Ovis aries: one gene and its partner. The main gene of each other region encodes a partner of the protein of the gene in region 2 in a complex. Links are inferred from orthologs where the notes say so. Each region holds a gene or a part of one and is shown on either strand. Other genes may lie near its edges.

Region 1 (4,306 bases), on a different chromosome or scaffold from region 2:
AAACTAAGGGAAATGGTCAAATCAATTAAGATACATCCATTTATTGGAATGTTACACAGCTATAAAAATGTTTAGGAATTTAAAAAAAATGTTTAGGAAAAGCTTTAAATTGACATGAGGAAACATGTTTTACATAACATTAAGCAAATGGAACAGAACAAAACATTGTAATAAACAACATGATCTCAAAGAAAAAAGTACATAGGAAAAAAAAAACCTAGAACATTCAAGAATGTTTATGTAGAAGATTCCCTCTGGTTATAGAATTATAGGTGACTTTTTTCCTTCTTCATATTACTTTTCTGCTTTTCAAATTTCTTGCAAAGGGCACATATTGTTTTAATAAGGTTTTAAAGAAAAGGAAAAAATAGTTGGGCAGAGAAACCAAAGAACTAGGGATTGGATTGCAGAGTAGCAAAACACACACACACACACAAACAAAAAAGCCTAGCAGTTTAATCACTTATGCTGCATTTAGTTCTTGGAGAAGTAACTTTCCTTGGCATTTCACTCAGCAAGATTAACAGTTTCTCATTTAGATCACAGGCCTTAAGATCCTGACAGAGGGCAAACTGACCAGCCTACATTTCAGACTGAAACTGTTCCCAAAACAGTTCCTTTCTGGGTCCCGCTAGGTCTGAGGTGCTTGAAGAAAGAAATCCAGGGAGCCTGAGGATGGTCCAGATTTTCAAAGCATAGCCCAAATTCTCACAAAATGAGAAGGGAAAGGGCTCTCACAAGACCAAGGAACTTACAGGCGTGTTGCTGCTTCAGTAGAAGTTTCGTCTCCCTCAATCCTGTACACTTTCCCATACATGACATACTCAAATTGGTCAGCCCTGTGGAACAATAGGGGCAGTTATTCTTAAATACAGTTAACAAAAGTAAGAGGCCCTTTAAAAAAATGGTAACTGGTAACTATACGCCAGCATCATAACACCAGGCACTTTCTAAACGTGATGTCATTCAATCCTCACAGCAACCCTGTGAGCTAGGTATGACCATCAATGTTATTGATGAGAAAAAACTAAGGTTGAAGGAGGTTAAGGTTATCCAACAAATAAGTGGTAGAGCTGAGATGTGAACTGAGTGGGCGTCCAAAGCCTTTCCATCACACCAAACTCCCTCCCAAGACACAAGGCCCACAGAGCCTAGGTCATTCAGTGCTCATTTCCTCCACTATCAAAAAGTGACAACTCACACTGTAATCACTGCTTTGGATAAACACCTGGATGTCTGGATTCTTAAGTGCTGCACTTTTCTTAAGCTAACAGAGTCTGCTGATAATCATTTATTTCATGAATTAAGTAAGGGTTTTTCTATACACCTATCCACTTAGTCCTCAGGCACATTTCAGGTGCTCCCTTTTCCATCCCCTCACCTGGAAGGCCTATCATCTGTGGGGTTGTATTCACCATCATCCAGAGTACCATCTTCATATAAGGTACTGGCTATGACCAACCGGAACTTGTCACCTGAAAACAACAGCGGTAGCAGAGGGTGGAGACCAGCTGAGATGGCATAAAGCCTCCTGCTGTTTGTGTTCAATACTTACCCAAGTCTACCGGGTAAATCTGAATGTTTACATCAAGGATGAGGTCCATCTTGAAAGATTCACTCTCACAATGCAGCCGAGACACTGGAGGGGAAGAGTGGCAGAAGTTAACTGCCTGTGGCCCAGGGCAGACCCTACAGGGCAGGGCAGACAGGTACTTCAGGGGCCTGGATGCAACAGAATACTCAGTCTAATGCAGTCTGTATCCACTGGCCTCTCATCTGCTCTCACAGAAGTACAGGCTCAATCAGAATCACACATGCAGGAAGGAAAGGGGAGACAACCTGTGGCCAGTGGACAGAATCCACAGAAAAGAATCAAAGATCCTCTGGCAATAAATAATATCCAGGTTCTAGGCCAACCTAAGTGATTAAGAAATAACCTGATTTGGGGCAAGGTATTCATTCATCCTAAGGTTTCCTCTTCCTGTGTCAGGTGCTGTGCTAAGGGGATTGATTATCAAGATGTGTAAGAACTGGTGTTTGTCCCGAAGAACTTATCAGTGTCCAGGCAAAGGAAGAGACACCCAGGACAATTATTGATAAATGACAGAATAAAGAGGTGTATACCAAGCAGTCTACTCTTAAACTCTGAGAAGATTTTACAAACAGCTAAAGACTCTGAGGAACGGGTTGTGAAGTCGGATTATTCACTGTACAACCTTGGGTGGGCTGCTTAGCCTCTCAGAGCAAAATGGGTAAGACACCGCCTACTCCTGGAAGAAAATAAGTGAGACAAAGCGCGTGCGAAGTGTTAAGTACAGCGCCCGGTCCAGAGCGGGGAGCGATTATAAAAGATGCCTGGAGTCCACCAGCACCAGCAGAAAAGGCCACCCAGGCAGCGAGCACAGCTTGTGTGAAACCAGGGAGAGCTCGGGAGTCTCCGTTTTCTTATCTATAAAATTATTTCTCGAGAGAGGTCCCCACACCAGGACCCACCGGTAGGGAAAGGCCACGCGAAAGTGGGTGGACAAGCAGCCTGGGGGCGGGTACCAGAGGAGATTAGCCCCTTCCCCCGAAACCGCCCCTCCAAACCTTGCTTACCTCGGTCAAACTTTTTGCCTTCCGGGTCAATGTCTTTTACATCAAAAATATCCTCAAAAAGGATGCCCGCCATGGTGAGGGGGCCACGAGAGTAGCAGAGGGACTGGGCGCGCTGACCACGACGACTAGGGGTAGCGCACCCCCTCGCGTGGAGGAAAAGAGGCGCGCTAAGACGACGCAGCGCTGAAACGGCAGCGGCAAAGGAATACAATAACGCATGCGCATAGAAGAACTGTACCGCAGCCACTTCCGCTGCCTAGCTCTCGGGGCTTCTTAACTTCCGCCCCGAACGATTGTTTCCCAGAGGTTTCAGAATTGAGGGCTGGTTTCGGGTCCAGAAAACCCCGCCCCCGGCGGCGACACGATGGGTCCCACCTCCGACAGAGGTGGCGTCGCGTCCGGCTCTCTCCCGAGGCTCTACTGCGCCCTCTTCAGAAGCCGGGTCTGGAAGACTGGAATGCTCAAGCGGCCTGCCCCAGCCAGGGACCTTGATCCTTGGCCCAGAGAAGCCCGGCCCGAGCCTTACTGTGCCGGTCTGCGTGCCCGCCGAGGGCAAGTCCGCACAGAGAGTGAGGGGAGCAGCACCCCGCCCCCAGGGCGCTGGCCCGACTGGGCGCAAAACCCAGCCCTTCCTGCTGGCACCCAGGCCGGCCCGGGCCGGCTCGTCCCAGCTGGATGTCACCTGAGCCGGGTCCCTCCAGTTTGGGAATTTGCCATGATGTCACCATGGGGAAGAGGAAAGCCTGCACCGTCCCCTTTCCTGCTCTCTTCTCTCACACCACCCCTTCAGCAGGGCATTAACCCCAAACCCACTGCCCTCCTCGAGCCCTGCCCCTTAAGCTCTGTTCTTCCCTTTCCGCTACCACGGTCCTCTCCTTCTAGACAAGCTCTCCTACGGGCTTCTTCATCCTGGCACTACCCTATCCTACAGATGCCACCTCTTTCTTTACATTGCCCCTTCCTCTAGGGTGCCAGCTCTCACTTCGGCCCCCTCCTGGGCACTGCTCCCTTACCCGGGAGCCCCCTGCGACCTCCCGCGCGCCCCTTCACCCCGGCGCTGCCTCCTCCTGCACACTGCCTGTTTCCTGGGCACTGGCCTCTCCTGACACTCTCCCTGACGCTGCTCATACACTAGTGCTCACCCCCTCTGCTCTGTCCTCCGGACCCTCATACAGAACACAAAGCCCCAGCAGGCCGTGTTCCCCCATGGCTGCTAGACGTCAGCACCTACTCCGGTTTCTCTTTGGGCCCTGCCAGGGAGAAGCGACCTCTGTCCCCACCACGCCCGCCTCCCAGGCACCTAGACCTCCCTTCCCTCTGGCCTCACCCATTCCCGTTCCCTCCCCATCTCCACCCCAACCCCCCGCACTAGCCGAAGGCCAGGTGGCTCAAAGTGCACCTCCCTGGGGGTGCTCCTGGGGGACCCGCAAAGAAGGGAAGGAGAAAGGAAGGGGATGAGAGAGACCGAGGGTCCTAATTCCAAGCAACCTCCGTTTCTGGGCCTAGCGACCCCCTCCGAGTTCTCCCCTAGCTTTGTTTTTCACCCCCCAGCAGAGCACAGGGACCTTTCCTGGCCAGTCAGCCGTTGGCCCCTCCGGTGAAGCAAGAGAGGGGACCGCCGCTGAGGGATTGGGCCCGAATCTGATTTAGACGGCTCGGCAGCCCCCGCCCCAGGCCCTACCGAGCCCCGGCCTGTCCAGCCCCTCCC
Region 2 (4,010 bases):
ACGAGTGCATTATAGCTCATCGTGCTAAGTAACGCACACTGTGACGGGAAGAAAAAATTATCTTCCTCTGGGGGAGTTGATAGAAGGTCTCATAGGAAGAGACATTTCCATTAATCTTGAAACCTAAGTAGGTGTCTGCCAATCAGAAGGCAGTACGGGAAGAATAGGGCATCTGAGTAAAGGGAATCCAGTGTGCAGAGGCTCTGAATAATTGAGGAACATTCTGATACGTTCCGGGAGGTCTGACGGGTTAGATGGGCTTAGATGCGTGGTGCATTGAGTACACCACACTTTGATGAGGTCAAACTGTGAGGGCCTATGTGGAGAGGACTGAATTTTATTCTAGAGGCAAGAAGAGAGAGGGGAGACTCTTTAAGCAGGGGAGTTGAACAATCAGAGTTTTCTGTTACATGTCTATTGTCATTGACGTCATGAAACGGCTCCAAACTTGCGGACACAGCCGGGAAAGGAGAGGGCGCGACAGACTGCCAGCGTACCACTGACATGTATACACCACCATGTGTAAAAAGCGATTAATAGCTCGTGGGTAGTTGCTGTAGCGCACAGGGAGCTCAGGTCGGGGTTCTCTGACAACCTAGAGGGGTGGGATAGAGGTGGGGTTGGAGGGGGGCTCAAGACGGAGGGGACTTATGTACACTTACAGCTGATTCATGTTGTCGTAGAGCAGAAACTAACATAACATTGTAAAGCGCTTATACTCCAATTAAAAATAAATTAAAAACAATAGCAAACAAAAAACAAAGGGCTCTGGGTTTTGGAGTCTTAAAGGGGTGCGCCCTACTCGTTTAACTGAAGGTGCTCAGGGTAGCCTTTCAATAAAGACCACTCTGCTAATTCATTTTATTCATTTCTCCTACCTGTCCTCCAAATGCTGTCTTTCTCTCCTTGGCCTGGATTGGACATACACTGACAGCCTTTGTCTCTTTAAACCCCGTTTTTCTGTTTTGACACTTTCTTCTGTTACTCTGACCTGGTCTTTATATGTACTGCTGATGTTTGCGCCCATCCCAACCTCGTTTTCAATTACTCAGACACAGTCCCTGGAAGTAGCCACGCCCACTCAAGAAGGTGCACGCCGATGAAGTTTGTCCTCAGTAGCGCGCCGTACTGACGGCCGCAGTGCGCAGGCGCAGTTCCCCGCTGCCGGCCGTGTGTGTTCTTCTTTCCCAGGGCTCCCGGCATCCCGGAAGTTGGACCGCGGGCTCTTCACAGTCAACCTCCGGCCAGGGTTCGCCGTGTGCTTCGCTCCCTCGTCCCGCAGTCACCCGCTCCCGGGGCCGCTGCTCTAAGTCCGCAGGTCTCCGCCGGCGACAGACCCATGGCCGAGCGCGGAGAACTCGACCTGACTGGCGCCAAACAGAACACCGGAGTGTGGCTGGTCAAGGTAAGGTTTGCGTGGCTCTCGCTTTTAAAGTAGTTTAAGTGACTTGAGGGGAGAAGGAACTGGCAACCCACTCCAGTACTCTTGCCTGGGAAATTCCATGGACGGAGGAGCCTGGTGGGCTACAGTCCATGGGGTCTCAAAGGGTCGGATACGACTGAGCGACTTCACTTTCTTTCTATAGTTCCTTTGGGAGAAGGAAGTGGCAACCCACTGCGGTGTTCTTGCCTGGAGAACCCCATGGACAGAGGGGCCTGGTGGGCTGCAGTCTATGGGGTTATAAAGAGTCGGACACGACTGAGCAACTAACATACACGCGCGCGCACACACACGCACACACACACACGTAACTTGAGACCGTCCCACTTTGTGCACCTTTTAAAACTCATTAGGGCTCTCTCGTTTAGAACTTCGCTTACCTTGAGAGGCAGGGTTGGTTGGTAGGCTTGTTTGCAGACGAGGACATTAGTTCAGGGACACCCAGTGTGTTTTAGCCAACTAAGAGTCTGAACGTGCCTGGAATGGATCTCCTTATCCCACGACCTGGTTTTTCTGGGCTCCTGTCTTGATGGCCCCCCAGTTTGAGCATTTTATCCCAGGCTGAAGAATTTCTTCATCTCCACTTGCTGAAACTGATTTCAGTCATCAATCTCTATAAGAAAGTTGAGCGTTTGCTTTCTGGGTAGTTTTCTGAGCCAGAAAGTAGAACTGTTCTCTGAGTACCCTGGTGGCTCAGATGGTAAAGCATCTGCCTGCAATTCAGGAGACCCAGGTTCGATCCCTGGGTGGGGAAGATCCCCTGGAGAAGGGAATGGCAGCCCACTTCAGTATCCTTGCCTGGAAAATCCCTTTTGAAGGAGCCTGATAAGTTACAGTCCATGGGGTCCCAAAGAGTTGGACAGGACTAAGTGACTTCACTTTCACTCGTAAGGTGTTCTTTTAGGTTGATGGGTCTTATGGAGTTCCCAGGAGAGGTGAGAGTGCTCTGAACTCAGGGAAGGAGAGACTGTGGACTGGAGTGTTCTTTTAGAGTTCGATTGTGTCTCAGGTGAAACTGTCAGTAATTTTTTTTTTTTTTGGTAAAGGCAGCATTTTGATTAACCCTTAGTAAGTACTTACTGAGCTTCCCTTGTGGCTCAGCTGGTAAGGAATCCACTTGCAATGTGGGAGACCTAGGTTCGATCCCTGGGTTGGGAAGATCCCCTGGAGGAGGGAAAGGCTACCCACTCCGGTATTCTGGCCTAGAGAATTCCATGGACTGTATAGTCCATGGGGTCGCAAAGAGTCAGACACTGAGCAACCTTCACTTCTTCACTTAGTGAGTACACTATTTATCCCTTACTTTTTCAAATTGGGGACTGTTGTTTCTTAGGAAGTTTTCATAAGACATGTGTATATTCAAAATGTGATTATGATAGTCTTGAAAACTCAAGTAAAACATAGAGACCTTTATTTGTTAGATTTTTGGAAAGCTTTTATCACACGTCTGAGTGTTTATCAGTTAAATCTGAGAGGCCCTTCTAGTCTTCCTCTCTGATGTAGCTCCCTTATGATTCAGTTCGGTCGCTCAGTTGTGTCTGACTCTGCGACCCCATGAACTGCAGCACACCAGGCTTCTTTGTCCATCACCGATTCCCGGAGCTTACTCAAACTCATGTTCATTGAGTCGGTGATGCCATCCAACCATCTCATCTTCTGTAGTCCCCTGCTCCTGCCCTTATGATTATTCACTAGCATGTTGAGCCTGTATTAACATTCTTCAAAGCACATGCACAGTCATATTTCGCGAGAGTAGGCGTCTTGCCTGTCACCCAGAACTGTGTTTGGTGTAAGGTAAATAGCTCAGATAATGTGATGTATGCATGCATGAATGAATGACTGAATGAACTCTTATTCTTCAACCCTAGCCTTAATCTCTGGTGCTGCTTTGACTTATCACAGTGATATCAGTGTGATTTAAAATGATGGAGTAACCAAGTATCTCTCTCCTCCTGCATGCTAGATGGAGAGAGATCATTAGGGAGGAGATCTCCTTTGCAGATGGAAAGAGCTTGAAAAGGTGGCGAGAGCTTGAGGTGATGTGTTTCTGCTTGGAGCGCAGTAGATGCTCAATAAATGTTTGCCTTACAGAGGTTTGGATGGGGGGCCATAGTATCTCCGTAGCATACCATGGAGAGTGGTTCTGAAATGCAGGAGTGAGAATGCACAGTAATGTGGTGTGGGCTGGAAAACAAAGAGGACATCATGCCTGGAGTAGCGGATTGGGACCGTATACTGACATCATCACGTTGTGAAGTGGGAATGTTTTAACACTGCTGCTGCTGCTGCTAAGTCACTTCAGTCATGTCCGACTCTTCGTGACCCCATAGACGGCAGCCCACCAGGCTCCCCCGTCCCAGGGATTCTCCAGACAAGAACACTGGAGTGGGTTGCCATTTCCTTCTCTAATGCATGAAAGTGAAAAGTGAAAGTGAAGTCGCTCAGTCATGTCCGACTGTTTGAGACCCCATGGACTGCAGCCCACCAGGCTCCCCCGTCCATGGGATTTTTCAGGCAAGAGTACTGGAGTGGGGTGCCATTGCCTTCTCCAGTTTTAACTCTAGTCTAC

The links. The genes of interacting proteins can lie anywhere in the genome.
Region 1: GTF2F2 (region 2) and POLR2H share a complex: the UniProt entries of both Homo sapiens proteins name them as parts of the TBP-based Pol II pre-initiation complex. The link is inferred for Ovis aries from reciprocal best matches to the Homo sapiens genes GTF2F2 and POLR2H.

Annotation. Positions count from the first base shown.
Region 1 is NC_056054.1:203,612,165-203,616,470, forward strand, and holds the start of POLR2H (DNA-directed RNA polymerases I, II, and III subunit RPABC3), read right to left. Parts: upstream 2,806-4,306; 5' UTR 2,672-2,805; coding exon 2,599-2,671; intron 1,640-2,598; coding exon 1,556-1,639; intron 1,476-1,555; coding exon 1,382-1,475; intron 840-1,381; coding exon 756-839; intron 1-755. UniProt on the Homo sapiens protein: DNA-dependent RNA polymerase catalyzes the transcription of DNA into RNA using the four ribonucleoside triphosphates as substrates.
Region 2 is NC_056063.1:15,657,267-15,661,276, forward strand, and holds the start of GTF2F2 (general transcription factor IIF subunit 2), read left to right. Parts: upstream 1-1,206; 5' UTR 1,207-1,339; coding exon 1,340-1,405; intron 1,406-4,010. UniProt on the Homo sapiens protein: TFIIF is a general transcription initiation factor that binds to RNA polymerase II and helps to recruit it to the initiation complex in collaboration with TFIIB.